3 linked regions of the Yarrowia lipolytica genome follow. The protein of the gene in region 2 interacts with the protein of the main gene of each other region in a pairwise test. Links are inferred from orthologs where the notes say so. Each region holds a gene or a part of one and is shown on either strand. Other genes may lie near its edges. The genes, in order: YALI1_B05711g, YALI1_D31274g and YALI1_E40327g.

Region 1 (9,438 bases), on a different chromosome or scaffold from region 2:
CGACGGTTTGCCGCTGAGAATGAAAAGCTCCACCAGGTCTACCGCACCTTTGTGTTCACGGACTCCATCACCCAGCTGGAGCAGGAGGCCCCCCACACTGTCACCATGTCGCACAATCTCTCCCCCGACGAGATTGACGAGCAACGGCTCAAGAACTGGGATGCCAACCTTCTATTCCATGAGCGGGTCGAGATCTCTATGATGTCTACCGCCACTCCTATCGCCTGCGACGTGTGGCTGGGAAACACAACCGACTTTGATGCGTACACAGCATCTCTGTCTGCAGCCAAGCAGGCCAAGCAGGTCAATAAGCATCACGGCGACATTGATGCGGCCGCAGTCAAGGCCCCCGCCAACTGGGTGACCATTATTGACTGCCAGGAAAATGCCCGACTAGTTCCCCTGGCTGTGTTAGACCAGTACATTCGGGAGGCTGAGGCATGCATTGTCGACCCCTCCCGACGACTCTCGCCTCTCCAGCTAGGCTTCCCCTCTTCGGGATCAATTCCCATCCAAGCCCTGACCCCCGAAAACGTCTATTCCATCATTAACGTGTGCAAACTCATCTATTTGCGATCTAAATGCACATATGGAGGCAAGCCTGCCGCATCTCTAGTCTTTTGCAATGATGGATATACTGAGACGTCGCTTCTGGCGCTCATTTTTCTCATGTACTCCACCGGATGCCGTGCCCCTCAAGCGTGGGTTGATTTGCATGTACAGTACAAGCGGCCGTTCTTCTGCTTCCCCATTGATGTGACTGTGGCGTCTGCTCTTCAGACTGCTTTGCACAAGTACTCGCCTGCTCTAAACGAGAAGCTCTCTTCTGGAGCAGAGTACACTGGCATGCCCCCCAACCTTATGTTCCTATCGGACGATGAGGATAACGGCTCTGTGCGACATGAAGACTCGTGGTTCAACCACTTTGACGGCTCCGTGCCCTCTCGAATCCTGCCGCATTTGTACCTCGGCTCCTTGGATCATGCTTCCAACCACGGTTTGATTCAGAAGCTTGGAATCAAGCGGATCCTGTCTGTTGGAGAGCCTGTGCCTTGGGCTATGGCCGAGGATGCTGATGAAGACGAGGAGATTGACCTGGAGGAGGAGGCTCGCAAGGTGGCCCATGATCCAGATCTTGTTAAGCTGGTGCGACAGACTCAGGAGCGTCGAGAGGCCCGAAAGCATCTCTCTCGCGTGCTGTACGTGTCCAACATCCAGGACGATGGCATTGACGAGATCACCGACTCGCTAGCGCAGTGCCTGGACTTTTTGGACGAGGGATACCGGCTGGGTGAAATGACGCTGGTGCATTGCCGAGTGGGAGTTTCTCGGTCGGCTACGGTTTGCATTGCGGAGGTCATGAAGCGGCTTGGCGTGGGGCTTCCGCGAGCGTACCTGTTTGTGCGTGTGCGGCGGCTCAACGTCATCATCCAGCCCAACCTGCGGCTCATGTACGAGCTTGTCAAGTGGGAGGAGCGTCATCGGGATCAAGGTGAGGGCTGGTTGCGAGAGGTTGACTGGCACATTCTCTGTCGTGAGATTGCCAACATGAACCGGGTTTATATTCCCGAGTAAGGACGGTCGAGGACGCGGATCGTCTCGAGTAATGGGTAGAAAAGAGAGACCCGGATTTGTTATGGGTTTTATTAGTTTGTTTTGAATTATTTATAGGGATTTGGCGTTAATACACAGAGAATAATGGTATAGATGGGCGTATTTTGTAGACACTCTTCCTAGTCAACTACTTTCCAACTAAACTCCAACCACATTAGATGACCATAGCTCACAGGACTGGGACGGATATAGTGCATGTGAGCCACACGATGGTCGTTCATGGACATTGTATGATTGTCAACCAACTCAGAAGTCTTCACACATGTGATGATCTCCGCTACCTTCAAATTTGCACTTTCAACAGAGGTGCTTCAGATTATCACCTCCCAAGAATATATACTTAGAATACCGTACAAGTGAGACATGAACATAACTCACACAGTCGAAACTTCAGCAGTTTTGTACCACAATGATAGCACCAACTCCAACTATACAATGGTGCAAATCTTTCGGCAGTATCTTGTCCAGAACCCCCACATTATACCCTGCTAAGTGTCATGTTCTTACACTGTACCCCCTTTGTTCAGTTAATGGACGTCTGTCCTCTTCTATGTATTATATCAGGTAAAGTACATACAAATACATGATTGTCTGGCACACAGATCTTGGTGGCAAGATCTCGGCGTGTCATATGCCTCATACTGTGGCGCGCTCGGCACCTGTCCTTCTCAGGAACCCCAACGAGCCTGTACAACAGAACGTTGCTCGCATCGTCCTATACGCATCCATTCTGTCCGCAGTTCTCTAGCCGACTTAGATAGCATTCCGCCTGGTCATGTTGTCAAACCGAGAGAAAGTGTATCCAATGAAGGGCAGATCACTGGATCGATCGCTTCGAGAGCTCTGCTGAGGGTACTCGGACACATCACCAAGCTCATCGGTGGGGAAGTAACTGGTGTCAGTGATACTGCTCAACTTGGGCACGAAAGGCGCGTTGAACTCCCGGATAGACGACCAGTCGACGCCTCGGAAAAAGGGATGCGATTTGATCTCGTTGGCGCCGCCGATTCGACCCAGACGGTTCTCGGACGAAGTCAACAGCCGCCTGATGAGATCCTCAGATTCAGGAGAAAGATGCACATCATCGGGGAATTGCAACGTCTCTCGCCAGTTGATGATTTTGTGGTAAGTCTCTCGGGGCTGCTCGGAGCAGAACGGAGGCCATCCAACCAGGCACTCAAACATGATGGCTCCCAGAGACCACCAATCGCACTCCTGGCCGTAGCCCTGATGCACAAAGATCTCCGGTGCAATGTAGTCTGGCGTTCCCACGGTGGAGTAAGCCATGAGACGTCGGTTCTTTCTCCACGTGGAAATCTGCTGTCGCATCGTCAGGTGGATGGAATCGTAAGTCGACTGTCGGTTCGTGTTTTGAGGGGGACCCATCTGTGTGGCTGGGTTGGAGGAAGTGCCGTCCTTGAGCTTCTTCCAATAGGCCGACGAGTGGGTCTTGTGGAAGCCTGTGGAGAGACCGAAATCGGACAGCTTGATGTGGCCCGTCTTGTCGATCAGAATGTTGTCGGGCTTAATGTCTCTGTGGATGAAGCCTAGCTTGTGGATCGCTTCGATGGCCAGCACGCACTCGGCAATGTAGAAACGGGTAATGTCTTCGCTGAAAACGTCGTACTTGATGAGCATGGTCATGAGATCGCCACCGGGAAGGAACTCCATGATCAGGTAGAGGTACAGGTCGTCCTGAAACGAAAAGTACAGCGAGACGATCCAGGGGGAGTCTGAGTCCGCCAGCACGTCTCGCTCGGCCTTGACGTGCGCCCATTGCTCCTTCATGTCCATTTCCTTCTTTAGCATGGTCTTCATGGCGTAGATTTTGCCATTGTCTCGCTTCTGAACCAGCCGCACTTCTCCGAACGCTCCCTTTCCAATCACCTTGACGGTGACAAAGTCTTCCAGCGCCATTCTTGTTCGTCGCATACGCAGATACGCCGTTTCTTTCTTGCCGTAGTTTGTGAGCACCCGGTTGCGTCGTTCTTCCGACGTGGCCTGCTCGACGGAGGCCTCGGCGGCGGATCTTCGCTGGTGGCGCTCGATAGCATGCTGCACAATGCCCTTGTAGTAGGTGCTGATGACCTGGGTGGTGTTGTGGGCTCGGTCTCGGGCCGTCTTGGACAGCAGATCCGGCCGGGGTGTGAAGTTGACGTAGTCACTAGGCTGCTGTTGAGCCACAGACTGTTGCTGTGGTTGTTGTTGCTGCTGTTGATGCTGTTGATGCTGTTGCTGTTGCTGTTGTTGTTGCTGTTGCTGTTGCTGTTGCTGTTGCTGTTGCTGTTGCTGTTGCTGTTGATGCTGTTGCTGCTGCTGTTGGTACTGGCTGTGCTGTTGCTGCTGGTACTGCTGCTGGCTGTTGTACTGTTGCTGGTTGAACTGCTGCTGCTGATCCAGAGACGTGTTGGACTGGTTGGAGTTCTGCTGATACAGCCCCGACGGAGGCGGCATGAGGTTGTGAGGCTGCTGCGACCCGTACATGGGCTGGCCCTGGCCAGGAACCCACTTGTCTGTCATCTTGCTTGCTTGTGTGGAGAGCGGTGTGGGTGTAGTTGTAGCTAGTGTGGTGTCTGTCTGGGTCCAACTATCCGAGTGTCTCTCTGTGTGTCTGTGTGTGTGTAAAAGGGGCTGGGTTAGGTGACGTGGAATTATGCAGGAGAAAAGGTTAACGTGTGTGAATGTAGAGGAACACCAGACGGGTGGAGAGGGGAGCTGAAGGGTGCGAATATATAGACGGTGACGGGTTTTGTGTCACACGCCACACGCAGGACTGTCTCTTTTTCTTTTTCTTTTTGCCCCCGAATTCGGACCACAACAACACGTATTATTGCAACATTAAAAGTCAGTTCGTGACAGACAGATGAGGCACACCAAAAATAATGTGAAATAGTTAATCGCAAAAGGGCGGTCTGATTGGAGGTGGATTTGGGTCGGGAACGCGACAAAAATAGTGATTTTTGTACACATGGGTGTCTCTTCCTGGTTGTATATTTTTTCTTCAATTTTCCCCAACCTTTTTCTCCACTTTTATCCGATTTTACACTGATTATTCCCCCCACCATACGTGAGCCTATTTGTGGGTAATTAATATTATTTTCGCTCTGTTTTAAAGAAAAAAAGCAACTTGAGGCCAAAAATACGGCTACAACTATCAGTTCAAAAATAGTACAAAATACAAAAATATTAAACCGGAAAAATCAACGCCCCCATTGGTCGATAACTATCCCTATCTGTGATCTCAACGACTTTCATTGTCAATATTTGCATCGGTTGATTTTGCAACCTGCCCCGGGTGTTTTTTAAATATTATTTTCCTATTTTGAATCTTTTTTTACTGTTTTTCTTTTTCCTTTTTCTTTTTTTAGTATTTTTCTTTTTTTTTCTGTTTTTCTTTTTACGTGACTTTTTTACGTAGCCTAATAGTGTTGATCTACGCGTACAGCAGAACGACATGCTCGGGATGAACATGAGACACAGACATGGTGGAGAAGATCTGAAACATCTAGGAAGATCAGAAAAGTGTGTGTATTACTATGGATTTATTTCCCATCCTCTAGGAGCAATATTCGCCAAGCTAGAGTGATTTACATCTCTGGTGACTACTCAAAGCGCGTAAAACCGCCCCGAGCGAAGAGAAAAATCACACAATAAGTCAACCAGACGTTCTGAATCGGAAGATGTAGATAATTTGATGTGACCAGATGGTTGGTAGTGTCACCGCTGTCCTCCTACGTTGCATGTTCGTTCTCCTTGATAATCACGGAGTAGACAAGACCTGGTAAGAGATATCTCAACTATTCTTATACCATTGTCATCGGACAGACCAGGGCTTTCCAATGGTACCATAGTTTCGCTCAAACATCCTCTCTTCGCGTCGTTCTGCTCGTAACCTCATGCGCTCTCCCCTGCTCCTACAATAGAACCCTCCCTCCCCCTCAACATGTCAATATCATAAATCATATTGTCCTGGCTCTTGTTCGACGCCTCCATAGCCCATGTCCTTCCCTATAAATACTAACTGGCCTTGTCAATCTCCTCGAGTCGAGCCAGAACGACCTTTTTGCTGGTTTCTTCGAGCTCGCCGGCCAGAAACACCTCGTCGAGGATCGCATACACCTTGTAGAAGTTGAAGACAAGATCCAGCTCGCAAACGTTGCCGAAAAACGTGTCCAGCACCTCCACAAACAGATGGATGGCCTCCAGGTAGAAGAGCTCATTGTCGGATTCGTCGACCACAATGCAAAAGAAAAGTCCCGCGTACCGGCGGTAGATGACCTTGTAGTTGCCCAGCTCCACAAAATTGCTCTGGTATCGCTGATCTCGGGCGGCCACCAGCCGATGCACCTCTCCCATCAATTTGATTTTTTCCGTGTCCTGGGTTAGTCCATGCGGACAAACGATATATGGCTGTGTTCGTCTGGATCTTGCCGTTCGAATGGTGGTGCTTCCATCTTGATCGCAGCACTCCTCGCCGAGTTGGTCAAGATGAAGAAACCTGGGAGCCCCATCATGTACTCACCGAATACGCATTGTACCACTTGGCAAGTCGCGTTTTGCCCTGTCGGTTCTGTACCAAAATGTACTGTAACACCATTATGACGGCTTTGTGTCGCGAAATGTCGTGTCACCGCTGGTCGAAAGAAATGTATGGCTTTCGTGACTTGCAGAGTGGTACAGCGGCGTCTGCATGAGGTAATTACAGGGGTGCTTAGTCAGCGGAGGGGTGGGACAGGCGTGTGAATGAGGCGGGTCGATGAGGTCACGTGACGGTGTCTCGGGAGGGTAAATTGGGTGGTGATTGTGTGTTTTGGTTGGTTATGGCATGTTTTGGTGTTAGTTGGTCGACTCTTGTAGCACTTGATATGGGTGTATATGATGGATTGGGGAAGCTGCTTGAAGTGGAATGCATTGACGAGGAAGAAGAATGCTGGAGCCCCAAACTGTCGAATCAGGAACCGATTCGGAGATTCAAAAGTCAACTATCAACCTTCTTCGGTCCTTCGACCTCTCCATCTTCAGCTATTGTGGTCTTTTTGGGTGCTACACTCAGTATATAAGCACTTGCATATCTAGAGTCAATAAGATGGGGGAATTCAGAAGGAGACAGGAAAGAGCTGTGGGGTGATTTTTTTTAATAGAGACTGATGGCTGTTATTGCAATTTGGGTCAATTTCGCCTTTTAGGGATCCGATGCGACGTTCCTAGGGCTGGATATGGACGATTTTGCCTATCAGAAAAGAGCAAATAAAACAAAATGAAATGAAATAAAATAAAATAAAATAAAATGAAATAAAATAACATAAAATAACATAAACCAAAAACTTCCCCCAAAACTTCCCCCAAAAAACCCCCAAAATGAAAAAACCGCATGGCTGCGGACAAAAAAGATACCACCACAGACGAAGGAAAACATACACGGCCAAAACGCCACCACGTTTATATTAGAATATGTTCGCTGCGAATTCAATGGCGTGGCTATTTTTCCAACCAGTGTGACTGGAGCCCGAGTTGGAGACCCGTTTCGTAGGGTTCAGGTCGTTCACACGCCCAACAGCTGAAGATACGGATACCTGGCGTTGTTTTAAGTGAAAAGCGACGATATTTCCATGGACTGGAGTTGTCCAAAGCGACAGCTTCATTTTGTATATCTACAAGTAGTCGATTTGGCCATTGTACTGTTCTCAAAGTGCGCTCAACAACCGCGGCTAGTGTCTGTCGGCAAAGTTGCACCCCTTAAAACGCTGGGAATTAATTGTGTTAAATCCAACTTTGTTTGGGGTTGGCTCGGGGATTTTCTGCGTTGTAATTGCCAGAAAATGGCGATAATTCCAGAGAATGGGAATGGGGGTTTTGGACAACGACAGCTGCGACAATCGTGTTGGAAGTGTCGAAAAACGTGCTGGAATCACTGAGAATATTAACTGTTAATTTTAGAGCCCCATGGAACCACAAGACGGGCACCACTGAGTCGATGGAGGGACGGAGAAAGAAATGAAAGAAAAAAAAAGAAAAAAAAAAAGAAAGAAAAAAGAATAAAAAAAAAGAAAGAAAAAAGAAAAAAAAAGAAAGAAAAAAGAAAGAAAAGAAAAGAACTAACCTTCCCGTAATAACTGTAGCCTTCCATTAACAGATGAACTCGCCTTAATTTCAAACCAGCGACAAGAACGACACACCTCATTCGAGCCGGTAGAACAACAGACGAGGCCGTTGGAGAATTTGTTGCTCCGGAGGAGCTGGCCAGGAACTGCTGAGGGGACTGGACGCCCGAGCCACCGACCAATGGTCAAGAACTGGATCCACAGTGGTGGAAGCCTGCCGCGTCCTACGTGTCCTACTTCTCTTCCCACAAGGACCGCCTCACTCTCGTCCGCGTACAGTAGAGCATCAACGAGTGGAGCTGACAGACTATATCTGAGCGTAAGCAACTGGTTCTTCCTGATCAGATTTTGGTTCTCCCCCCACTTGTGGTCATGCTGGTGCCCAACTGCGGAATGAGAGGAGCCCTAGAACTGCTTGAACGAACCCAGCTCCTAGAACCACTCTTCAGCACCTGAGGATAGATTCGACAGTCGCCGCCAACTCCGGACTAAGACAAATCATCTAATTCTCAGTCTGGAGTACATTTGTTGAGCCCACAGACAGGTCTTCTGTTCGAAGCCATGTGAGAGCGCTTGGCGAGACTGTGGACATCTGTCGACATTTAACCAACTGGAGAGAATACCTCTGGACCTGAATCCCAAAAACAGGATGTATGCCGACAGGGAATGTTCCAGCGCAGCTGGAGACAAGCTGTACTACTGGAGAACTCCGTCAACCAGGAATACCCATGTAGTACAAGCCAGTTGAAATGGAAACGGTTGAAGAACAGAATGACGTAGTGATAGACCAAAGGAGTTCCGTAAACGCCTTGACAAAGACACCAAGCTGTGCTGGAGAGTAAAAGCTGTTTTGGACAATAAAACAAACTGTCTACTCCATCGCATCTTGGCATAACGGTCTATGCTGGGAGCTCCAGCTGATATCCTGTCCACGCTCTACATTCAGCTATTCTTGAGCATGGCGTAGCGCTATATAGACGCTTGCAGAGTTCAGGAGCGTTCCATGCTCTTTGGTATCGATTCACTTCTCCAGCGCAGAAGCTGTTGATGGTCTGTAACTGCTACCAACCGCTACTGGGGTGAAGTGCAAGTCACAGTGGCATTTTCAGATGGTTCCAACGGGAGAAACTGAGGACTGTTTGCCAGTTACTACGGAGACTCCGTTCCGCTGACAAAAGCCACTACCAAATGCAATGAGGATGTGTTCTGGGAGAAATCACAGCTAATATCGCATCCGCAAGACTTGCTAGAGGTGGTTCCCCTCTCTTTTCGTCGGAGAGGTTCCAGAAGAGTCACCTACCGAACTTCTCCGTTAGCGATCAGAAAAGAGGCCTGAGTGCCAGGATCTCGTCGGATACCTTCCAGCGTCACCAATGGTGTTGGTCCCTGGAGTGTCAATGGTGTTGGTCCCTGGAGTGTCAATGGTGTTGGTCCCTGGAGTGTCAGTAGTAATAGCCAAGTCCAGATAGTAAGGAGATGTCTGTGAGAGCCGGAGATGGACAATAACATGTCAACTTCCCACCGACTTCCGATTCTGACCACCACCGATATCCTTGTCCAGAACCAGTGGCTCTCGAAAGACTCAAGTGCCATGAAAAAAAGATCCAGCAGCTAGATGTTGACCTCAAATCGACAAGTCTGTATCTGGGCTGGGCTGAATCTCTTAGAACCGGTTCATGGAATTACTTGAGAACTCCAACCAACGGATCAGAGTCTGAATACT
Region 2 (10,462 bases):
GCGTACCGAGTGGACAGGTCGAACAGTGCCTTTTTGTAGACCGCCTGAGTCGTGTCGCACACGGAGATTTGGAACTCGCGCACAACCGAGGTGGCAAAATACTGGCGCTCCAAAAAGGTGAGCAGTTTGATGGCCAAACAGCGGGTGGTTCGGTCGCTGTCTCCGACCTTGAAGAGCGCCAAAACCAGCAGCTGGTGGATCTTGACCGGGTAATTCACGTCGCCGAGAATCACGTCCACCAGGGTGTGAAAGTAGCAGTGGTTCTGCACGGGGTCTTCGTGGTCCTGGAAACAATGGGCCACGGCCTCGTCGGTGATGGCGGTCTGGTCAGAGTTATTCACAAGCAGGTTTCGCAGTGCCAATGTGCCGATTCTCTTCATCTGTTCACCGGGCGACGAGAGAATGGCGTCGATCCATTTCATCAGCCCGGTGATGTTGAAGGCCAGAACCGCTCGGGTCTCGCCGTTGCTCTCCACCGCTTGAACCGCCGGTCCCGAACAAAGCACAGCCATGCACGAGAGCGCCGCCAGCTCGAGTTTGCGTCGCTCCAGCTCCATGGAAGCAACAATCATAGACTGGTCTTTGCTCTCCCGGGTCCGGCCCAAAACCACCCTCCTCATTTGCATTTCTCGGTCCTTGGACAAGGCCCAGTGCTGGCCATGTCCACACCACTCTTCAATAACGGTGAAACACGAAATGCGGCCCTCAAACGGCAGCCATCTGGCGGGGTTCGGGGTCTTGATGATGCCCAGATAGACGGTTTCCAGAAACCCGCAGAAATACCGCCTCAGACGCTGATAGTCCCATTCCACCTGGACCTCGGGTAGCGACAAAAACGCCTTCATGTCCTTGATGTACGACGACAGAAATTCAAGAATCCACTCGTCCTTGAGAATCTCATCGTTTTGGATGAAATGCGCCGTCAGCCTCAGAATTCGAGTCACCTCGATAATCAGCGTGTCCGGATTACTCACCTCGGAACTGGTTCGCCGATGGTGGCTCATCTGACGCAAACGTCGTCGCTCTTCCTTCCAGTTTCCCACACAGGCTTGCAGGCACTCCAAAAGCGACGCGTAGATGTTCACGTTGATACAGGAGAGCCCGGCGATGATCGAGTCACGAATCAACGGGTGGTCCACGGTCATGAGGGGGATTACCATTCGGAAAACGGACTTGGCAGACGTAATCTTTTGTTGTGACGCTGGAATCCGGGGCACTGATCTCTTGCGGTTGTGAGAAGCAGAAGTAGGCACTCCCGCCTGGTCATTGGTCTTGTCGTCGGTCAACGTCAACGTGCAGCAGGCCACGATGAGGTAGATCTGCCACTGCTCAATGAGCATTTCCGCCTGGTTTCGCATTGGGTGTCGCAGACTGAAGGAATGGGGTCCCGCCGTCTGCTGCTCGGCAAACGAGACCACGGCGTCGTGCATCTGCACTAGGCGCAGGCAGACAATGTTTCTGAACAGCGCCACGGGCATGGGATAGGCCACAAAGCATTGCTGCATGAAGCAGGGGAAGACCTTGAGCCAGATGGACGTGTCGACTCCGTAGTCCGAGTCGGACAGTTGGGCCAGCGATGCCTTGTTTTTGCTGGTCAGCTTGCTGAGCCGGGTCTTTTCAGGGGTGTTGAGCTCAATCGCCGGGTTGGCTTGGCTGAGAAGGTCGTTGCCGGAGGTGGAGTCTAGCAGCGAAATGACACGTGATCCAGACACACCCGACAACACCTCGTCAAACGACACGGTCAGCCGCAGAATCTTGAGGGCCAAATGGCGCACATTGCGGTTCTGAGAACACAGGAAAAACAGCCCGTTGCTCTCTACCTCTTCCACCACGGCCCAGACCGAGTTGAAGTCCACCGAGTCGTCGTTCTTGGACTTGATGGTGTCGAGCCACAGCTCCAACAGAGTCACGTACAGCTTGAGCAGAGACTCGAACCGGTCCGTGGCGGTAGCCGGGAATTCGGTGCTGCAGAAATTTTGCTGTTCGAAAGAAAACATAAACTTGGCAAACACCTCAATGACTGATTTGCCTTCCTTTCCGGCAACGACAAATTTTTTAAGGGCGTTGCTGGCCGCCTGGCTCACCGGCGCCACCGACAAAGTGTTTCGGCAAAGCATTTCCAGCAGCTTTGAAAACTTTAGGTTGGACGGGGGACACCACGGAATGCACTCAATGGTGTAACAGAGCAGGTCCAGAAACGCCCCGCGATTGAGAGTGGTGCTGTCGTTGGCGCCAAAATGGAACGAAACTGCAATCGGCGTCTTAGCACTGGGCAATTGGTAGCTTCTCTTGACTTCTTCGTCCTTGTTAGTGGAGAAATACGTGTCGCACAGATAAAACAGCTTACCGAGAATTTGAGAAAAGGTGTCATGAAATTCCTCCAGCAGCTTGGTCTTCTGGCGGTGGAAGGGGCCCTCGACATAGGAATGCGACCGTACAACCTCGTTGAGAGCATCGTCGGTCAAAAACGTCGGCTTCTGGTCCTGCTCATAGTCATGCAACATGTACATGTACGCCTTCATGCCAATAATAAGTCGCTCGGGAGACAGGCTCTCTAGCCCCACACTGGCCGATCCCTCCAGCAACTGGGTATGCATGAGCTGGTACAAAATCTGGTCAATGGTGTAGGAGGGGTTGGAGAAGCCCATGAACCGCAAAACCTGGATTGTGGGGTGTAGTATCGACGGGTCTAGCGACGCCCATCCCTTTTTGGACCCCGCAGGGAACATTTGTCGTGTGATTCCCTCCAGACGTTTGGTTGTATGGTTCAACGACTCGGAGCATCGGAAAACATAGACCCACAATAATCTTGCTAGACAAACGGCCATATGGCCTCGCGACTGCTTCTCCTTGAACCGTGATATGATGACATCGAGTAGTGCTGACCAATTCTGCGCAAAGTATTCCTGAGGAGACACAGTCAAAAGAGTCGTTGCCGCCACAATGGCCGGGCCTCCAGAGCCTTGCTTGGACGTTTTTGGAATGCTGGCAATGACTCTGGGGTAGATTTCGGAAATGGCCTGCACCCACACCGGATGGTTAAGTTCCACAGTACCCACAGACACCACCGGCAACAAGAGCTTGTTGAAAACGTCCATGTATGCGTATTTAATTCTGGGCAGATGAGAGCGCAGGAAAAACTGTCCCAGAGACTGCAGAAAGTCCGCAGACTCGTCCAGCTGGTCCATGGGGTATATTTTCAGTTGCAAATGGCACATTCCTTGAATCACGAGCTCCAGCTGGGTCTCTTTCTCCTTGGAGGTTGGCTCGCCGGCCCGACCCAGATCGCCGAGGAAACGGTCCGTAACCGAAACAAAGTTGGTGTTGCTCATCTGGCCCAAAAGCTGCGCAAACAGGTTCCAGTTGGCGTGGCGCACGTGGCTGGTAGCCAGCACCGCCGGGTCCGTCGTTCGCAGCTGTTTGAAGACAATTTCCTCCAGCTTATCACGCAGATCCTCACCCAACGAGTCCGTGTCTGTCTGTTTGACCACCTCAATTAAAACTCGGCAGAGAATGTAGATACTGATGAGCGACTTTTTGTCTGCGACCAGAGCTGCCTCTCTGGCGCTGCTGGCGTGCTCCTGGAGCTGGGCACTGCCAAATCCGCCGCTGCCCATGTCGCTGGCACGCGAGTTTTGTCGAGAATGGCCGGTCACGGCAGATGCGGAGGCCGCGGCAGTATGAGCGGCGGCGGCCGAGTTGACGGCAACCTCGGACTTGGACTTGCGCCAGAACATGACGCTGTCGATCACCGGTTTCGGCTCCCGGCGTGCAATGTAGCCGAGAGAGACGATGATCTTATCGAATGCGGGGTCCGCGCCCTCGCCGAGAATGTCGGTGATGTTGGGGTCGGAGTCGGGGGTGGAGATGCAGAGGTTGAGTTTGCGTTCTGCGTAACGGACAAACTGGGTTAGCGAAGTAGAGAGGAGTCAGACCGTGACGTAGCCACGTACACAATTGATCAGAGCCTGACGAGGCACAAAACAAGTCATGAGTGGATCTGGAGAACAGCGAACAGCACGTGAACGTGTTCTTGCATTCTCAGAGCCTGACCAGAGTGTTGACCATGATTTTAACCATTACTTAGTCATGTGAACGACTGTATCTCGGGCTCCTTGTGACCAGACGAATCTGTAGAACATGACTTTGGTCTTGACGTAGCTTAGCGACGAGTCACATAACCTGAGATGGCCCTACCAGCAGACTTTGGAGGTGCATCGTGATATCTGCGAGATTCACTCACGCCTCTACCAGAGTCCAAAGGCGCCAAAGAGCGCCAAAAGGACACGACAGTCGTAGACCTCTACAGTGTGTCGGACTGCGCCATCTCGAGAAAAGCATGGCCATTACTGAAGGGTCACGTGTCAGCAGAGACATCTCAGTGGAACAGTAGTATCGATTCGACTCCTGACTGTCCCCATTTTACTGTTCTTTGTCGCTCGTGTGGTTGCTTCTGAGTATCAGCTCATTCATAGCACAGGTCATTCATTGCCAGCTCATTGGGTCCACTCGGACCTTTAACCGTACTTGGGCGTTTCCATACTCACCTGTGTAAACAAAATATGCAAGGCATATTCACTCGGCGTTTTCGAGTCGTCTTTCTTCTCCTTCTTTTCCTCCACAGGTCGGTCCACACGTACCGGTGGAGTGTCCAGTGACGTGGGAATGGCTATTTGGGCCGGCGACGAAAGGTCTGGGATTGTGATTTCGTTCTGGGTTAGCAGTGTGTGGAAGTGGTGGTGCGGTGGTCGGTGGAGCGGTAGTGCGGAGATTTTTTAAAGAGACCGTGACCCGCCAGACAAATAGTCTGACAAGTAGCGCGGAAAGTAGTCTGACAAGTAGCAATAGCAAACAATCTCACGTCAGTGATGGTTGCACAGGTGACATGACGCAGATGAGACTAGAATGGGCTGCCACTGAAATGCCCCGACTATGACTACGACAGAGTTGATGTGAATGAGACCACGTCATCCCGCGTTCTTCAAGTGCCGTAATCTATCTATCACTGTCTCGATGAAGATATGTCAATTGCTCGATCTGAGTGACACCAGGACTGGGACTGCATCGGTGGAACTTGGTGGGGCCGCAAGACGTCAGAAACACGCTGGATACAACCTCCAAATAACCTCTGACACTAACAATGTCGCAAAACGCCCTCTGAAAGAATCTCGCAACCCAAATTGGCCACAGTGGCCTCAATCTAGTCTCACCCCAACTGGTGTGACCAGCAATGCTAACGGGATGGTGAGGAGAAGGAGATCACAATCAGTCGTGTGATTTGACGGTTGGCCACGTGACCCAACCGCTGGTCACGTGACTCAACCCCTGCCCGCATCCCCCAAACAAACATCTGAATATCTCATTCCACCCCATACCCTCCCTACCCCCACCGCTGAATCAGCCAGACTGGTGCTCTTGCCGCCCCCAGCCTCTCCCCAGAGTAGACCACGTGACCAGTAGGCACCCACGTGACCCAGACGTGCCCATGTGACCTCCACATGACCTCATAATCTCTCTCCCCCCTCTCCTGCTCTACTCACCATCCCAATATCGCTTCGTCGTGGTGTAATTAGCTGGCCAAGTCTGCAGGAGTCGCCAGTTATGCGAGGAGGTGAATGTGGTGGGAGAACTTTATTTTGGCGCGAAAAAAATCCACCAGGCGTTGTAGCCGGGCCCGAACTGGAGCGCTAAAAGAAGAGCGGCATCGGGCTGGTCTCGGTCACGTGATCACAAGGATGTCTGTTGTTATTTTGTATTTTTTTTCTCGGTTTTTTTTATTTTTCTCGGATTTTGTTGTTTTTCCTGTCCAAATCGCCGATTCTCCTTCTCCCAAACATCATGAACCCCTCCTTAATATCGTTGTACAAGTATCGTATATAATGCGCAAAATGGAACGTGGAGCCTCAAAAAAATGCCACAGAGAGAAGAAAAGAATATAGAGCGGATAAAACATCCATTCTATTTATTTATTTCATACTAACAAAATACAATATGGCTTTCTAAGTGTTTTTCTATAACAACTTCTTTTTAGTTAAAAGCTTTAGTTGAAAATAGTTGAAAACTAAATCCTGCTGGGGGTTCATTTTGAACGTTGCTGAGATGTCGCCGAAATGAAAAGTGTATGGATCAGTAAGTAATGAGTAAGTTTATAACTACTAAATCGTCGTCTGAATATATTGTCATACAAAATTCCAATTTAACACCTCTTTCATCCGGATGACTAACTACTTTTAGTTGACGTTTTACTCGACATTTCTTCATAGTTTATTTAAACTTATTATCCCTAAATCGACCCCTCAATATTCACTACAGTACAAGTACTGTACCGTAGTTGAACAGTACACTCGTACCTACTCTACAGGCTTGTTGGAGTCACGTGACCAGTATCTAGGAGGATATAATATACAACCGTAGCCCAGGTGGATTTGTCTGCTCAAACAATTGACATCAGATTCCTGGGAGAGGGTCGATGTCACGTGATACGTATAGAGGGTGAGTAGTTGGTTGGTGCTATCTCTTTTCGTTGCGTTGCTATCTATGTTTGACATTTTTTGACATTTTTTGGTCATATTGATGTTTTGCTTTTGCTTTTTCTTTTTTAAAAAAATTAAAAAATTAAAAAAATAAAAAAAAAAAAACATTTTTCATTTTTTCATTTTTTCTCTTTTCTCAACCACATTACATGAAACGGAGAAATATACAGGCAAAAGGAAACAAAAAGATGGCGACATCCGCAGGATTCGAACCTACGCGGGGAAACCCCAAGAGATTTCTAATCTCTCGCCTTAACCGCTCGGCCAGGATGCCATGTGTAGACTGGGTAAGTTGATGAGCTAGTTCAAGAGGTGTGATTAGTAATCAGCGACAAGATCAACGGATTACTGGTTGGCGAGAACAAGGACGGCAAGCGCACCTTCAACGACGAGCTCATCTATCAGCCTCTCAGAGCAGGAGGCATTGGCCTTTTGAACATTGTTGAGCAAGCAAAGAGTCTCCGTGCCACGCGAGCGGCTCGCTTCTTCAGGGATGATACTGCTGCAAGACAAAACGCTATGTTTCTCTTTGCTAGTGAGACAGTAGACTTGGGCTACGGGCTCCAATCCCACTCTGCTACGAGAATGAGCAAGATTAGGTGGTTCGAGACGGGAAACTGGCACTAGCGCCATTTCCTATCTGACTCCATGGACCGATGTCTGCGAGGACTTGCAAGGCTGTCTCTTATAGCTGTACTGGCGGAGTCTCCAGCCGACTTGCGCCCTAGGGCGCAGTGGTCAAGTGAGAGGACGAAAGTTGACCTGTTCGAACGCCAGCGTCGTGAAAACCCGATCGCAACCATGTCTCGGGAGCAAGTTGCATATCTCGAGTCGCAAATCGATGTCCCTGTCAAGGTGGCAAAGGATAGCTGGCGAGATCGTTTCAAGGTCATGAAGAACAAGCACTGGTTGGAGACACTGCCATCTGAGCTTGATCCGAACCACCTACTCTGGCTTAAGACAAATCAGTTCCTGAGCAAGCACTACCGACGAGATGATAAGAGCGCTGCTACGCTACACATGTTGCGGCTGAGCCGCCTCCCCTTCACCCGGTGGTACCCCAAATCAAGATCTGTCCAGTACAGAGACATTGGATGTAGTTCTAGTCAACTCTTCAAACAGAAGAACTACCTCCACGAGCACCTTTTTGTCAATTGTCCAGCGTCCAAGGCCATCTGCCAGAAGATTGGTGTCCCCCTTCCATCAAAGATGGCGGACTGGATCTTACTGGAAGCCAAGGACGGCCCGCTGAATTACATTAGAGAGCTCGCCCATGCTTTGTGGCAGTTCGAGCGAGCTATGCGAAAAACTGGCCGAGTGGGTACTGACCCCGTGGTCCAGCGAGACTTCGCTCACTTGTTCACCCGAGCTTCTGCAGCATATCGTCGCGACATGGTGATCGTGGCTATGAGGCGGAAGCGCGGAGAGGAATGAGCGCCGAAGTTGTTTTCTACTCTAGGGGCACTATTACGATGGCTGGTACACATGACGTCCTCGTGAGGTCTGCTCACGCTAAATATACACGCTCTGATTGATGGAATTATAAAGAAAGAAAAAAATCAATAAAAAAAAATAGTTGAAGATCAGAACGATCGAATAAAAAGACCCGAGGGGATATTAATGATATATATTATCTGCTGGAATTTCAACCAAATTGATTGAAGCATTTTTGAGTGATGCAGAGTATCACTAATATCTTCAATACTACAACTACCAGAACAAACTGCCCTACCCATTCAGGAACAATTTGATAGCACTTTTCCGGGACGAACGAAGGGAATATTGGACATTTACTAAGATACAAACAATTATCTTGAATTTCAAAAGTACATATTTACCGGGACCTCAACAGAGATCTCCTCTAGACCACCAAGGACGTTTGTTTTTTTTGTTTTTTTTGAATGTTCAGAGAATGAGCCTACTTCCGCCGCCATTGTTGGGTGTCAATAAGGAGACTGGCGAGCAAACCGTGCTCATTTTAGATATTGGAGGAGAATCTTTTGATGTTTCTCTTCTATCTATTGAACCACTTTGTGAAGGAGATCAAGCGAATGCACCACGACATCTCCACCTAAAAAGAGCTTGGAATCGAGGGTAGATGGGGAAATATTTGGGATTCCAGTTTATGTCGCGAGACTGAAGGTTGCTTCTTCTGTTTGTTTGTATGTTTGTTTGTTTGTTTGTTGTGTTTTTTTTTTTTTTTTTGGTGGTTTTTCAAAAACATCTCAATTCCTCCGGTATACGACTCTGATTCTTCCTGTACAGTTTGGTCTATTGTACGAGTACAATTGCATGTTCGGAAAAGAAGACGAATTGGAGGTTGTGAAACAAATATTGAAAGGGGGAATTTGGTCTCATCTGTTTGAGAAGAGATAGGTTGAATATGATCATTATTGAGCGAGATACAAGTACTTGTAGATGCTAGTGTAGAGTGCTGACAAAGTTGAACAGAAAGTGACGAATCGAGGCGATTCAAGACATTATTGGCGGTATTATGTATGAAAAGACCTGTTTTCTGATGATTAAATGGTCGTTTTGGCGTTGAATTCGTCACATTGTCACAATTGAACCTTTATATCAAGAGTTGTGAATAGTTGAAAAATGACGAGAGGGTCTATCACGAAAGTTTAGATCTGTCAATTTCTTTTTAGCGAGACGTTTATGGAGTGTGGCACGAAAGAGTGGGCATTTGGGTGGCTGTGGGAGACTAGCTGGATTTTTCGAAGGACAAAAATTGCTTGTGAGCCACAGATAAGCAGATTATAGCTGAAATTCTGGGGATCGGATCTATACTGGGAGAGTTAGAGCCAGATGTAATAAGTCAACTAATGAGGGACGTATTTACTTAGAATTTGGGGAAATACTAAATAGAAACATTTGAGAGTGGTAATAAGAAAATATAGATTGGTTTATATGGGAGAATTAAAAAGTAGAATTTCATACTTTTTTTTCTAATTGAGAATCGAAGGAGTTGACAACGATATGTACAGACTTGATGTCTTCCTGACTAAAAAAACTATTTAATTAATTTAATAGATACGAGAATTAAAATACAATATCCAATAGCTACAATACCAGTCTCTGACACTACATTACCACCATCCACCATAATCACAAACAATAAATTACTTTCTCAAAAAGTGACCATCATGGTCGCCCGACCTTACTCATCATCATCATTGAACATGGACACATCTTCTTCATCATCGACAATATCCAGGTCCGAATCATCCGAATCGACGTACACAGACTTCTTGGGGGCGGCGGCACGTCGAGGTCGAGCCGACGACGCTCTAGACGACGCTCTAGACGACGCGGAAGACGCCACCTCGGCCACCTCATCGTCTGACAAATTCATGTCTTCATCCGAGTCGTCAAAAATGGACTTCTTCTTGGGGGCAGTCTTCTTGGGAGCGGCCTTAGGAGCAGCTCTGGGAGCAGCCTTCTTGGGGGCGGCCTTCTTGACCGGTTTGGCCACATCCTGCACCTCCTCAATGGACCCTCCCATGTCCAAATCGTCATCATCGTCAGACAGCGATCCAAACAGCGACACCCGCTTCTTCTTGGGTATCTCAAACTCAGAATCGAGCTTGCCGGATCCAAATTGAAGCCTGCCACCGGCAGCTCCCAGACGGTTGATCTTGGTGGGAGAAGACTTGACGGGAGAGTCGCCAAAGATGGAAGTGGAACCAAGTGAGCCAAACGTATTCTTGAACTTGGGAGAGGTGGCGGTGTCGGACAAACGGGGCTTGGTCTTGGAAATTCCTGGCTCCTTCTTGACCTTGACATCATCCAAATCCACCACCTCGGGCTCAACCGACGCTGAAGACGACTTGGCACGTGACTTGGCCGCTGCCGTCTTGGGCTTAGCAGCAGTCTTGGCCTTCTTGCCAACAATAAAATCCTCATCGTCGTCATCTCCAGCCTTC
Region 3 (10,400 bases), on a different chromosome or scaffold from region 2:
GGTCTTATGTATGAATTGACACATGGGGATGAACGAACATTTCTAACTCTTTCCCCGCCTGCCTTAATCGTTAATCACCTCACTACATAGAATTAACCCAACGGCTGCCTGTTATCGAAACCTTGTATTATAAGACTGTCTCGAGCGGATTTTGCAGTATACTGTAGCTACAGTACATACAAGTGCTGCTTATACAAGTGGTTCATTTGATATTTGTAGTAAGCCTTGTAAACTTGGGCTATCATTTATATGAAGGGCCTGCAGGTGACAATAGATCGAAGATGAAGATCACAAACGCCAGCGGTAGCATTCACCTACCACGAACCACTGAAACCTACGCCAAGAAACTAGCCGAGGATGGCCTTGGCACCATTGCCTTGGTCTCCTTCCAGGGCGAGTTTACCGGTGAGCGCCGATACCTCGAGAAGCCCTACAGCACTGTACTTGTTCGTTCGAACTGTCGAGATTAGGGCCATGTCGATTATCTTGTGAATCCTCTGTCGACGCTGAAAAGTTTGGTGCAAAGGATATCTGCGCCAGTGGGGATATCGCCATTGTTGCTAATATATATCCCCGAATCAATGCCATTGGTACCCAATGTACTGTTTCTACTGACAACATTGATCTGGGACAGCAAGATTAAAGACGCTGACTCTGCCTCTTACATATACTGACGCTCAAACTGTTCAAATCAAGAACGGCGACATTGATGGGCACCATTCTCTGGGTCCCAAGACGGAAGCCTCCCACAAGGAAGAGTGCGCTGCCTGGCGTTGCTACTGGAACAAGATCAAGGGTTCCAACAACATGGACATCTACGGCAAGGTTTTCGCCCTCAGGCCCCATGAGTTCTTCCAGAATCACATTTAATGATGTGAAAGTAGCTACCTGTCGCTAGTAATAATATATAGCTCATCTTACAAGTAGAGTTCTTAGACCCATCGCAGATAAGAACCTTACTACAGTATGTACATAGTGGATAGAGCCCAGAAGTACCGTAAAGGATACGTGTGTTCCTGTTGAGAGATTGCTACAAATCTTCACAACACACAATTCCTACAAGTACAACTAACTACTCTACAACCATACACACTACAAGTCTCAAATATAGGGGATGGGACTCGATGGTCCAATCGTATTAACCCCGGAGGTTCGGCTGAGTACCAGCGTACGTCCTCCTAATACTATCTAATGCGAGTTGAGTAGTTCCTATCCTACAACTATCTCTTCTGTGTTTCCGACAGGGCAACGGGCTCTTTGCTTTCCGGATTCGCGACTCCTCTGTATAAAAGCGGCACGGGCAGCGTCTCGATTCTCAATGATCTAACGGGCTCTGGCTCTTGGCTATATCAATTTTGGCGGCTCTGGTCTTCTGTATCGGACTCGGGCTCTTTTTCTCCCTCTGTACTTGTACGGTTCTGTAACTAATTGGGGCTCCCACGGGCACTCTCGGACTCGGCTTCTCAGGCTCATACACACACATGGCTCTCTCTCGCACGGACACTCGGGCTCTCGCAATGGGTCTTTGACTCAAAATATCTCTCTATAGCGGCTCTCGTTGCTGGTGGCTCTTATAATCACTTGATATGGCGTCTTTCTAGATCTTGGCTTCCTCTGACTGGCGGTCTCTCGACGACTTGGCTCCCTATGGCGGCACATTCATTTCCAAACGGCTCTCTGCTCGGTCATTGTTAAGCGGCACTCCCCTCTGTAAAAAGTTCCGGCTCCAGGGTTTAGCATAGCTGAACTTCCTCCCCCTTGGTAGTCGGTCGAGATCACAGGCTCGAAGACGCGTCGAGACACGGGCTCAAGGCATTCTCTCTCTGTCGGTCGGTGGCACTTCTGCTCTGGCTCACAGGGCTCAGGCATCATATCGCTCTTCGCTATGGTAAGGTCATTTTTTAGACACATTCCCTTAGGGGCTGCAACACAGCTCTTAACCGGTAAACTCCCAGAGCGCAGCTTCTTAGCGACTCCAGTTGGGCATGTTCCCAAAGCACTCTGCTGACCACACTCGGTCAGGTAGTATTACGTCAGGTACGGCGGCCAAGCTCGTTCCTGGAAAGGCCTTGACAGGAGCCTGGTGCTTTTCAGCGGGCTCAGCACTGTCACAGAAGGACCCGACAACCGGTACAGTTGCCAGTCTGGCGGCGGAGGGATCGACTTCTGAAGAAGAAAAAGAAGAAGAAGAAGACAGCAAGAGCGCGATTGGGCTTCCTTATATACTTTTGGGACGTGGCTAGTCAGTAGACCTGAAGCGACAAGTGGGGGGGACACACCCGCCCTGCCATGCACCTAATCAACATTAGAGTTGAGAATGACACGCCTACCTCTTTGTTTTCTGGTGTGGTATCATTATCAGTGGACACTCATGCAGGCAAGGGATAAGGACGCTGGCTGCAGTCGATCCAGAAGGCAAAGGTGGCAGATGAGGACGTTTGACACATACGAATTGAGCAAAATGACCATGGTGCTGTATTCTCTTCGAAATTACGAGCCGAATGAGTGGAGTCAACATTTTTTCAGGTCACGTGCTTAGAACTTGTCCCAACACAGCGAACAGGGTTAGGGGAGACTTCCGCAAAACCTGCACACTGCATCCTCCCAAGCCCTCGGGCCATTAGCCAATAGAATAAGGACAAAATCCTGACCAGTGGAAATACACTTTGAGTGTAGAAAAGATCGCAGAGTGCACCAACTACTTACACAACACAGCAACCATGGCTTCAATCACCTCCGTCGTGAAGACTAGCGAGCTTATCCTCAAGTCTCCTCTCCTCAGCAAGATTGTTGTTCCTCTTGCCAAGACCTATGTCAAGTTCTCCGGATACCGACAGCTTGGTTTCAAGTGAGTATCAAGGAAAACAACGCCCTCCAGCGACACACCCCAACGACAGTTGCGCAGCATCGACAGTACGAGTGAATGGGAAAGATTATGGACGATTTCGGCTTTTGCGACACCAGTTTCAAGGCGTTTCTGCGTTTCTACGACACGCGAAATGTGCCCTTAAACGCGACGACGTAAGAGATATTTCAGGGTCAAAACACCATTGATACGGAAGTGACACAGCGACACTGGAAGACCACAAAAACCGACTCAGAAAGGAATCCCCCGACGCTCAACTGTAGATATTGCTGGAATTGTTGATTGATGGGTGTGCATCAACTTGTGCGTGAGCAAATACTAACCCCAGGATGAACGATCTGATCATTGAGGAAACCCCCAACATGCAGCTCGCTCTCCGACGACTCCCTCCCACCGAGTCTTACGACCGAGTCTACCGACTCATCCGAGCCACTCAGTTCTCTCTGTCTCACAAGCTTGCCACTGGTAACGACATCACCAAGCCTGAGGAGGACGACCACTACCTCATTCCTTACATCCTCGACGTTGAGGCTGAGGCTTTTGAGAAGGATGCTCTTGACAACCTCGAGGTTGTTAAGCGAAAGTAGGCATAAAAGCTCTAACAATACATGATTATTAGGTACGAGAGGGTAGGTATGGATGTCAGTACTTGTAGTCCGTGTATTGTATCTGGCACATGTAGTGTTGAAGATTGTAAGGGGTTTAGAACACAGAACGATTGGTGCGTATTGAGAGTTCTGTTGGCATTGACGCATTAATCTCTCTAAAATTAATGCCCCCGTTTGTGCTGACCAAATTGCTGTCTTTAGGGTCACTGTTGCGTGGTTGATTACTTATTACAAATGGGACGATTTTCACGCACTGTCCGAATCACCGATCATAATATTGGTCAATTTGTGTGAACAAAACTTAAATTTGTTTTAACCAAATTTCCAAACTAAGGATCACACAATTTAATGGAGAAATGACTTAGGAATAGGTAACTCGTTTTAGTCAGAGGATAGGAAATACGCCAGTTCCACACAATCATATCCTACTCCAACTACTTGTACTAGCTTGTAAATCGTTCACTTATCATCTAATGAATGTTAGCAGGCTATATAATTAATACCGTGGGGGAGTAAATGCTTAGAGTGATGAGAAGCCGTCCTCCATCACCTTGAGAGCGTCTCCAAAAGAGGTAAGCAGCTTCTCCAGCTCCCGAGTGACATCGGCGTGAGGAGCAGGGTCCAGCAGCACCGACAGATCAATTTTGGGAATGGGAGGGAACTGCAGAGTGGATTGAACGGGCGGCTGGGTTTGGGCAGCCCGAGAAGGACGACGCGACGAAGGCTGAGACGGAACATTAAGACTGGGCGTGTAGTCTTCCTTGCGGGCAGGGGTCATGAATGCATCGGGCATGGGCGGGGCTTGTGCCGGAGGCATTTTGATCTGCAGGTTGACGTTTCGCAGTTTGGCGGGCTTCTCGGTGTTGAACGCAGGGGACTTTCCATTAACGTCTGAGCGAGGCATAACCACGTCAGGAACAGAAGCTGACCGGGTAGCCAGCTGGGGGTTCTCGGAACGAGGTATCAACGGAGGAGAAGCATGGCCGCCGTCTTCAGAAGACACAGACGACTTGTGGCTCATCACAGGCGAAGCTGCAGAGGGAGAAGCTGCTGCTGATGAGATGGACGACACCGACGAGATAGAGGGTCTGTGGAACTGCGGAGGAGGGCTGGAAGGCCGTTTCACGGGTGGAGGACTGCCCCGAATGGGAGAGGGCGTTCTCTTGGGGTAAACCTGATGAGGGGCAGCCAGAGATGCCCCAGAAGAAGGGTTGGCCGAATTGATAGCTGACTTCGCAGCTGCTACCGCGGCCAGCGACGCGGAGGAGTGATGCATTGGTGTCGGGGGCGGCGGAGCCTGTGCCATTAAAGGTGGGGGAGCCAATGGCTGTTGTGGAGGCTGCTGCTGTGGGAGAGGCGGCATCTGAGAGGGAGGAGGTTGTGTGTGAGGCACAGGAGGCATTGTCTGATGCAATTGGGGCATCAGCGGTGGCTGTGGATGCTGTATTTGATGAGGGGGCTGTTTTATCTGAGGAGGAAGTTGTTGCTGTAGCTGAGGCGGCTGCTGCACTTGAGGCAAACCTCCTAGACCGGGGTGAGTTGCCTGGCCTGAATGGGTGGTTTGATTGAGATTCTGACCTTGGCCTTGGGTCTGTGCGAAACTGTGTGAATGCTGAAGAGGAGGAGGTTGGGGATGATCTTTCTCGGGAGAAGCTCCCATCTTGGAACCCCGTCCAAGAGTCTTACGACGAGACATGGCCATGGGAGGTACCCCTGGAGGCTCGCCTTCCTCTCTTAGATCGTTGAGAGTTGGAGCCATAGACGCCATTTGAGTCTTTTGAGTGGGAACGGTAGGTAGAGACATTGAGGAAGACAGCTCGGGACGAGCAGGCATAGGAGCATGGGCAGGAGGGGCAGGAGGGGCAGGAGGGGCAGGAGGTTCGTTTTCGTCCACAAACAGCTCCAGAAGTGGATGTGGCTCCTCTTCTTCCTGAGGCACAGTCATCGTGTTAGTAGCTGTCGTAAGATCGTGTAGTTGGCCTTGTTGTAGTCCCTGCTGCTGCTCATATCTCTGTTCCAAGACCTCAGAGGCAGAGACAGTGCTCTGCAACAGGACTTGGGTACCCATCTCGCCAATATCTCTGTAGGCATGTGTGGGTTCTGGCCTGAAGTCCATCTGGCCATTATGAACCTCCACACGAGCATCATCAGGCGCAGTGGATGTGTCGAAGTCCCACCGAAAGTCGTCCGAATGGTCCACAATATCCTCTTCAGACCCAATGGAATGCCGGTTATATACAGCCATCGAATCACGTGACTTGTTGTGTTCCCTCCAGTGCATATATCTTGAAATGAGGTCTTTGATGGTCGATGTTGGGATACCCTTTGAGCCTCTGACAAACTTGGTTTTTGACAGCTCCTCTGCTGAGGGTCGTTCGTCAGGCAGTTCGTCCAGACATAGTGCGACAATTTCCTTGAGGGCCGCTGAGTACTGGGATCCTTCCAATCTTGCGGGTTTGTTTCTGGGGATCAGAAAAATGGCCCTCATTGCCTCCTGGTCGGACAGGGGAGGGGAGCCTGTTGCAATTTCATAGAGCGTGATACCAAGCGACCAAATATCTGCCTTGACGTTGTATGATGCTCCTTCTGTGATAACTTCCGGAGCCATCCAATAGGGTGTTCCCACAATAGTGGACCGTTTAGTCTTGGAGGAGACTAATTGCGCGGCCACTCCGAAATCACACAGCTGAACACGTCCCTGTTGGGTGATGAGAATGTTGGCGGCCTTGATGTCTCTGTGGATGATTCCAGCCTTGTGCATGTACTGGATAGCGATGAGCAGTTCACGTGTGATGACGCTGAGGTGTCGTTCTTCGATACGGCCTGCCTTCATGAGAGTGCGCACACTGCCTCCAGCACAGTACTCCATGATGATCCACAAACGCGAGCCGTGGAGATACGAGCCATGGTAGCGGGTGATGTTTTCTGCGTCGGCGAGCTTGAGCTGGCTCAGCAATTGAATCTCATGCTGGACCTCCTTGACGTCGTCCTCTGCCGTGTCTAGGTTGAGTACCTTGATAGCCACCAGCTGCTTGGTCTTTTTGTGGTAGCCCTTGTAGACCACGCCAAAGTTGCCGCGACCGATGACCTCCTGGCGCTGGTAGATGGACGTGACGGGCGTGGATGTCTGCATATCCCAGTGTTGAGGAGGAGACGTGGACAGCTCGATGTTCTGTAGTAGTCTGTAAAGCGAGTTTATCATCACGTGAGTTGGGTGTTGGGGCGTATCGTAGAGACACGTTTCTTACTCTTCCAGTCCGATATATAATGTCTATCTTTATACACTTATTTTAACATCTCAAATGTGCCCCATTTTTGTCGCTTTTGACCCTCGTTTTTCCCTCACTCATTATTTTCCACGCCCCATTTCTCTCCCCAGCCCCATGTCTCCCTCCTTAGTGGGCCAAACCTTGACATGCATGAACATCACCGAAGGTCAAACGAACAGCCTTTGGGAAAAAAACCGAGGTGGATACATCGAAAAATCTGACAACAAAAAATGTCCTTTGGACGCCTGTTCCGACAGTCACGCATACCGGCGATGCACACGTCGGAGAACGTGTCACCACATGCGCCAACCACACAACTGGTCGGATCAATGCGGGGCAAAGGGAAGAAGCTGGAGTATGGACTCAAGCACAGCCGGAACCCCAAACAGCCGAAAATGGTGTCTGTGGCCGGCCAGGATTGGTTAGGACTCGGCACCGACTATCGACCCCAGGACATGGGCTTTGCACGCGCCCAGGAGCAGTTTTCCACCGCCGGAATCGCCCTGGAAGGACCTCCCTTAATACAAACTGCATCACAGTCCAACCTCAGTTACGCCTTCATCAAGTGGTGCAACGACCGAGGCGTCAAGCGCAGCGCTCTGGACGGCGAGTATCTCATCCAGCTTGCCAAAGAGTACGCTGCAACACAAAAATTCGGTCCGTGGGACTCAATATCCACGAAACCCGTGGCTGGACCGTCCTACTTCCCCAAGGGATCGCTACACACATCTCGTAACGGAGTCATGGCAAATCCCATGTTACCAGCACGTATTGTGGATGATCAGCGCACAAAAGCTGCTTGCATCGGCGTTGTGGCTACCTGTGAAGTGAACGACTCGTCTATCAAACACCACAGAGACAAGATTGTGATGATGGAGGTCCAGGGGGCCAAGCTGGACAATGACAAGTTGATTATGAAGCTGCAATCGACGACGAAAAAGGCGAGTGCCAACGTGTGGAAGGACTATACGGGATCTCAAAAGCTGCAAAGAATGCACGCGGATAGTAACAAACATTCGCAGCACAGAAAGTACGAAAAGCTGTTTGATTTGCTGCAGTGAACCAAACAGCACAGACGAATGAGGGAATGTATATATGTATATAGAAATTGCATGGTTGTTATATCGACGGTAATAATATTGAAAATCGTACTCGTAGTGTTCACGTTCAGTTCACGGTGAGCTTAAAACTATCTTCAAGAAGAGATTTGAGACCTGATTTATACTTGCAGCAATGTTTACTTCTTATCGCGATACACGAATGTGATACGGATCAAAGTAAGCAGGACTACGATAAGATAACGAATGCGGTGCAGTCCATGTCGATTAGGTATAGATACATTTATTTTGTGTTATGTTACATTTTGGGGGGATACTGTCCTACTTGTAGTACCTACTTGTAGTACTGTAGAGGGCTTATCTAAGAACACCCTTTGTGGAAGGAACCTCGTCTCCGAATGTGATGGAGGATGCCATACGCAGAGCCAGCGCAGTGGCCTTGAATGCAGACTCGATTCTGTGATGGTCGTTGGCACCTCGGATGACGTCGACGTGGATGGTGATGGCAGCGGAGTGAGCAAAAGACTCAAAGATGTGGGGGACCATCTCACAAGACAGCTGGCCCACTCGCTCTCGCTTGAGACCAAGCTCAGTCACACAGTATGCTCGGTTGGACAGATCCACAACGCATCGCGATAGTGCCTCGTCAAGAGGGGCATATGCGTATCCGTATCGTTTGATGCCTCGCAGGTGGCCCAGAGCCTCCTTGAAGCAGCCTCCAAGTGCGATAGCGGTGTCCTCCACGGTGTGATGGTCGTCAACATGGACGTCTCCGATGCACTCGACTAGCAGAGACCAGCCGGAGTGCTTGGCCAGAGCGTGCAGCATGTGGTCGAAGAAGGCGACGCCGGTCCACACGGAAATGTGCTGGGTATCGGTCTTCTGGTAGGCGTGAGAAACATCAGCTCCCTCGGGGAGCATGGTGGGGCCTGGCAGCTCGAGAGCTCCTCCATCTATGCTTATGGCGATCTGGATTTTGGTCTCCTTGGTCTCTCGTCGGATGCTGGCGATTCGTCGGGTCATTTTGTGTGTGTTTGTGCGACTGGTCGTGTAGTGAGTATCACAGGTAGAAAGTAATTTTCAGTGGGGCTGACAATCGATGACTCTTATCAACATTTAGCTTTGCTAGCAAACGGTCGGGTCTAGAATGTGCTGGATGGAAGAGTGAAAGGGAGGTGTGGCCGGCATCATTACACGGAGCCAGCTGCTTTTTTGTCATATAAATACCCCTATAACTCCCACATTATGTGCCTCCCTCTTCCTCTCTGACTCACAGAGCTTCTTGCTCTTTCTCTATCTACTCCAAGGTTAGTGAGTCAGGATTGTGTCTGGCTTAGGATATATAATTCCAGCCCAAAAGATAGCCTTTCGGCACTCTGGTTTCCGGCGGCTCTCCAAAATGGCGGTGGAAAAAAATATTGTGAGGAAAACATAACAGGTATTCTCACGCATTCTGATTGGCTGAATAAAGGAAAACAACAAAACGCACCAGCCAATGGAAACACATAAAGAGATAAATTTTCCACACTAAAGCAGGACCCTACTCGTAGACCAACGCCCCCACTTACAGGACGCATCTTTAGACCCGAACCCCCAACGTTCATTCCTCCGTTGCTGGACGAATTGGGTCTGCAGGTAAATAATGTCTAATGGCAGTTGAATTCCGATTACTAACTTACTGCAGCGTGGTACAAGTGCAGATAATCACGCCGAAGGTTCTTGTGTTTAGTATTTCCCGGTATAATGTCTATAAATCAATAATGGCCTTGCTCTACAAAGGCCGAGTCAGGCTGCTCTCAAAGACGGGCCTTGTTGTCAATCCAGTGCTTGACAACGGTCTTACCTTCATAGAAGGACGGGTCTGGATGACGCACAATGGCACCAGCATGGGCCTGTTTGGTGGCACGGATGTGGATGGCGGTCTTATCCCACTTGAGCTTACTGAGGTTCTCAATGATGGTCTTTTGGCTGTCCGATAGCACCAACTTGGTCTTGGTCAGATCCAACGTGTCCCCCTCCGTGGTCTTGTACTCCATGGCAGTGAACATGGAGTCCATCGTCTTGTCCACCTGATCCTCCAAGGCCGTACGGAACGCACCTTCCTCCAGGGAATGTGATCTGTGGTGTCCGTGCGACTGAGAAGAAGAAGAAGAAGAAGACTCGGATGACTTGTCGCCAGGAGAGTGCACCTTGCCGTTGAAGAGAGCTCCAACAAAGTCATCAGAAGTATTGTTCTTCCAGTACTCGCCCTTGGCGTATTGCACTCGACGCCGGTTGGAAATGATGCCGTAGAAGATGGCAGACGCAATCCAGGTGACGGCGTACATGGGCATGGTGACGGCAATGTTGTAGAGGACCTTTGCCCATCGGAACCGGCGTTCCAGCCATCCGGGAGGCTGTTTGATTGCCTCTGGCGGAGGAGCTAGGAGGTTGGAGGTGTCCGACTGTTGCAGCTTGATGTTGTTGAGACGCGAGGTATCGACAATGATCTCATTGGTGCCTTCCACTGTAGGCAGAGTAACAGACTCCATGTTGACACCCTTAAAGGGGTCGAAATCGTAGATTCCTGCAGTGTACCACGCCGTTCGCGAGTCATTGA

The links.
Region 1: the proteins of YALI1_D31274g (region 2) and YALI1_B05711g interact in a two-hybrid assay, tested with the Schizosaccharomyces pombe proteins (2 studies listed by BioGRID). The link is inferred for Yarrowia lipolytica from reciprocal best matches to the Schizosaccharomyces pombe genes mor2 and orb6.
Region 3: the proteins of YALI1_D31274g (region 2) and YALI1_E40327g interact in a two-hybrid assay, tested with the Schizosaccharomyces pombe proteins (2 studies listed by BioGRID). The link is inferred for Yarrowia lipolytica from reciprocal best matches to the Schizosaccharomyces pombe genes mor2 and nak1.

What each region holds. Positions count from the first base shown.
Region 1 is NC_090771.1:565,846-575,283, reverse strand, and holds YALI1_B05711g (uncharacterized protein), read right to left. Parts: upstream 4,135-9,438; coding exon 2,368-4,134; downstream 1-2,367. Other genes in the region: YALI1_B05762g (uncharacterized protein), read left to right, coding at 1-1,575; YALI1_B05730g (uncharacterized protein), read left to right, coding at 1,607-1,653, 2,185-2,362; YALI1_B05698g (uncharacterized protein), read left to right, coding at 5,319-5,356, 5,403-5,628; YALI1_B05690g (uncharacterized protein), read right to left, coding at 5,632-5,991, 6,137-6,211. UniProt on the Schizosaccharomyces pombe protein: Interacts with pak1/shk1 and coordinates cell morphogenesis with the cell cycle. It is essential for maintenance of cell polarity and is involved in mitotic control.
Region 2 is NC_090773.1:3,122,462-3,132,923, reverse strand, and holds the start of YALI1_D31274g (uncharacterized protein), read right to left. Parts: upstream 5,544-10,462; coding exon 5,541-5,543; intron 4,713-5,540; coding exon 4,548-4,712; intron 3,906-4,547; coding exon 1-3,905. Other genes in the region: YALI1_D31258g (uncharacterized protein), read left to right, coding at 7,182-7,967; YALI1_D31186g (uncharacterized protein), read right to left, coding at 9,697-10,462. UniProt on the Schizosaccharomyces pombe protein: Required for the maintenance of cell polarity. Has a role in localizing F-actin at the cell tips.
Region 3 is NC_090774.1:4,028,965-4,039,364, reverse strand, and holds YALI1_E40327g (uncharacterized protein), read right to left. Parts: upstream 6,677-10,400; coding exon 3,995-6,676; downstream 1-3,994. Other genes in the region: YALI1_E40361g (uncharacterized protein), read left to right, coding at 2,721-2,848, 3,195-3,453; YALI1_E40324g (uncharacterized protein), read left to right, coding at 6,974-7,804; YALI1_E40305g (uncharacterized protein), read right to left, coding at 8,159-8,824; YALI1_E40282g (uncharacterized protein), read right to left, coding at 9,598-10,400.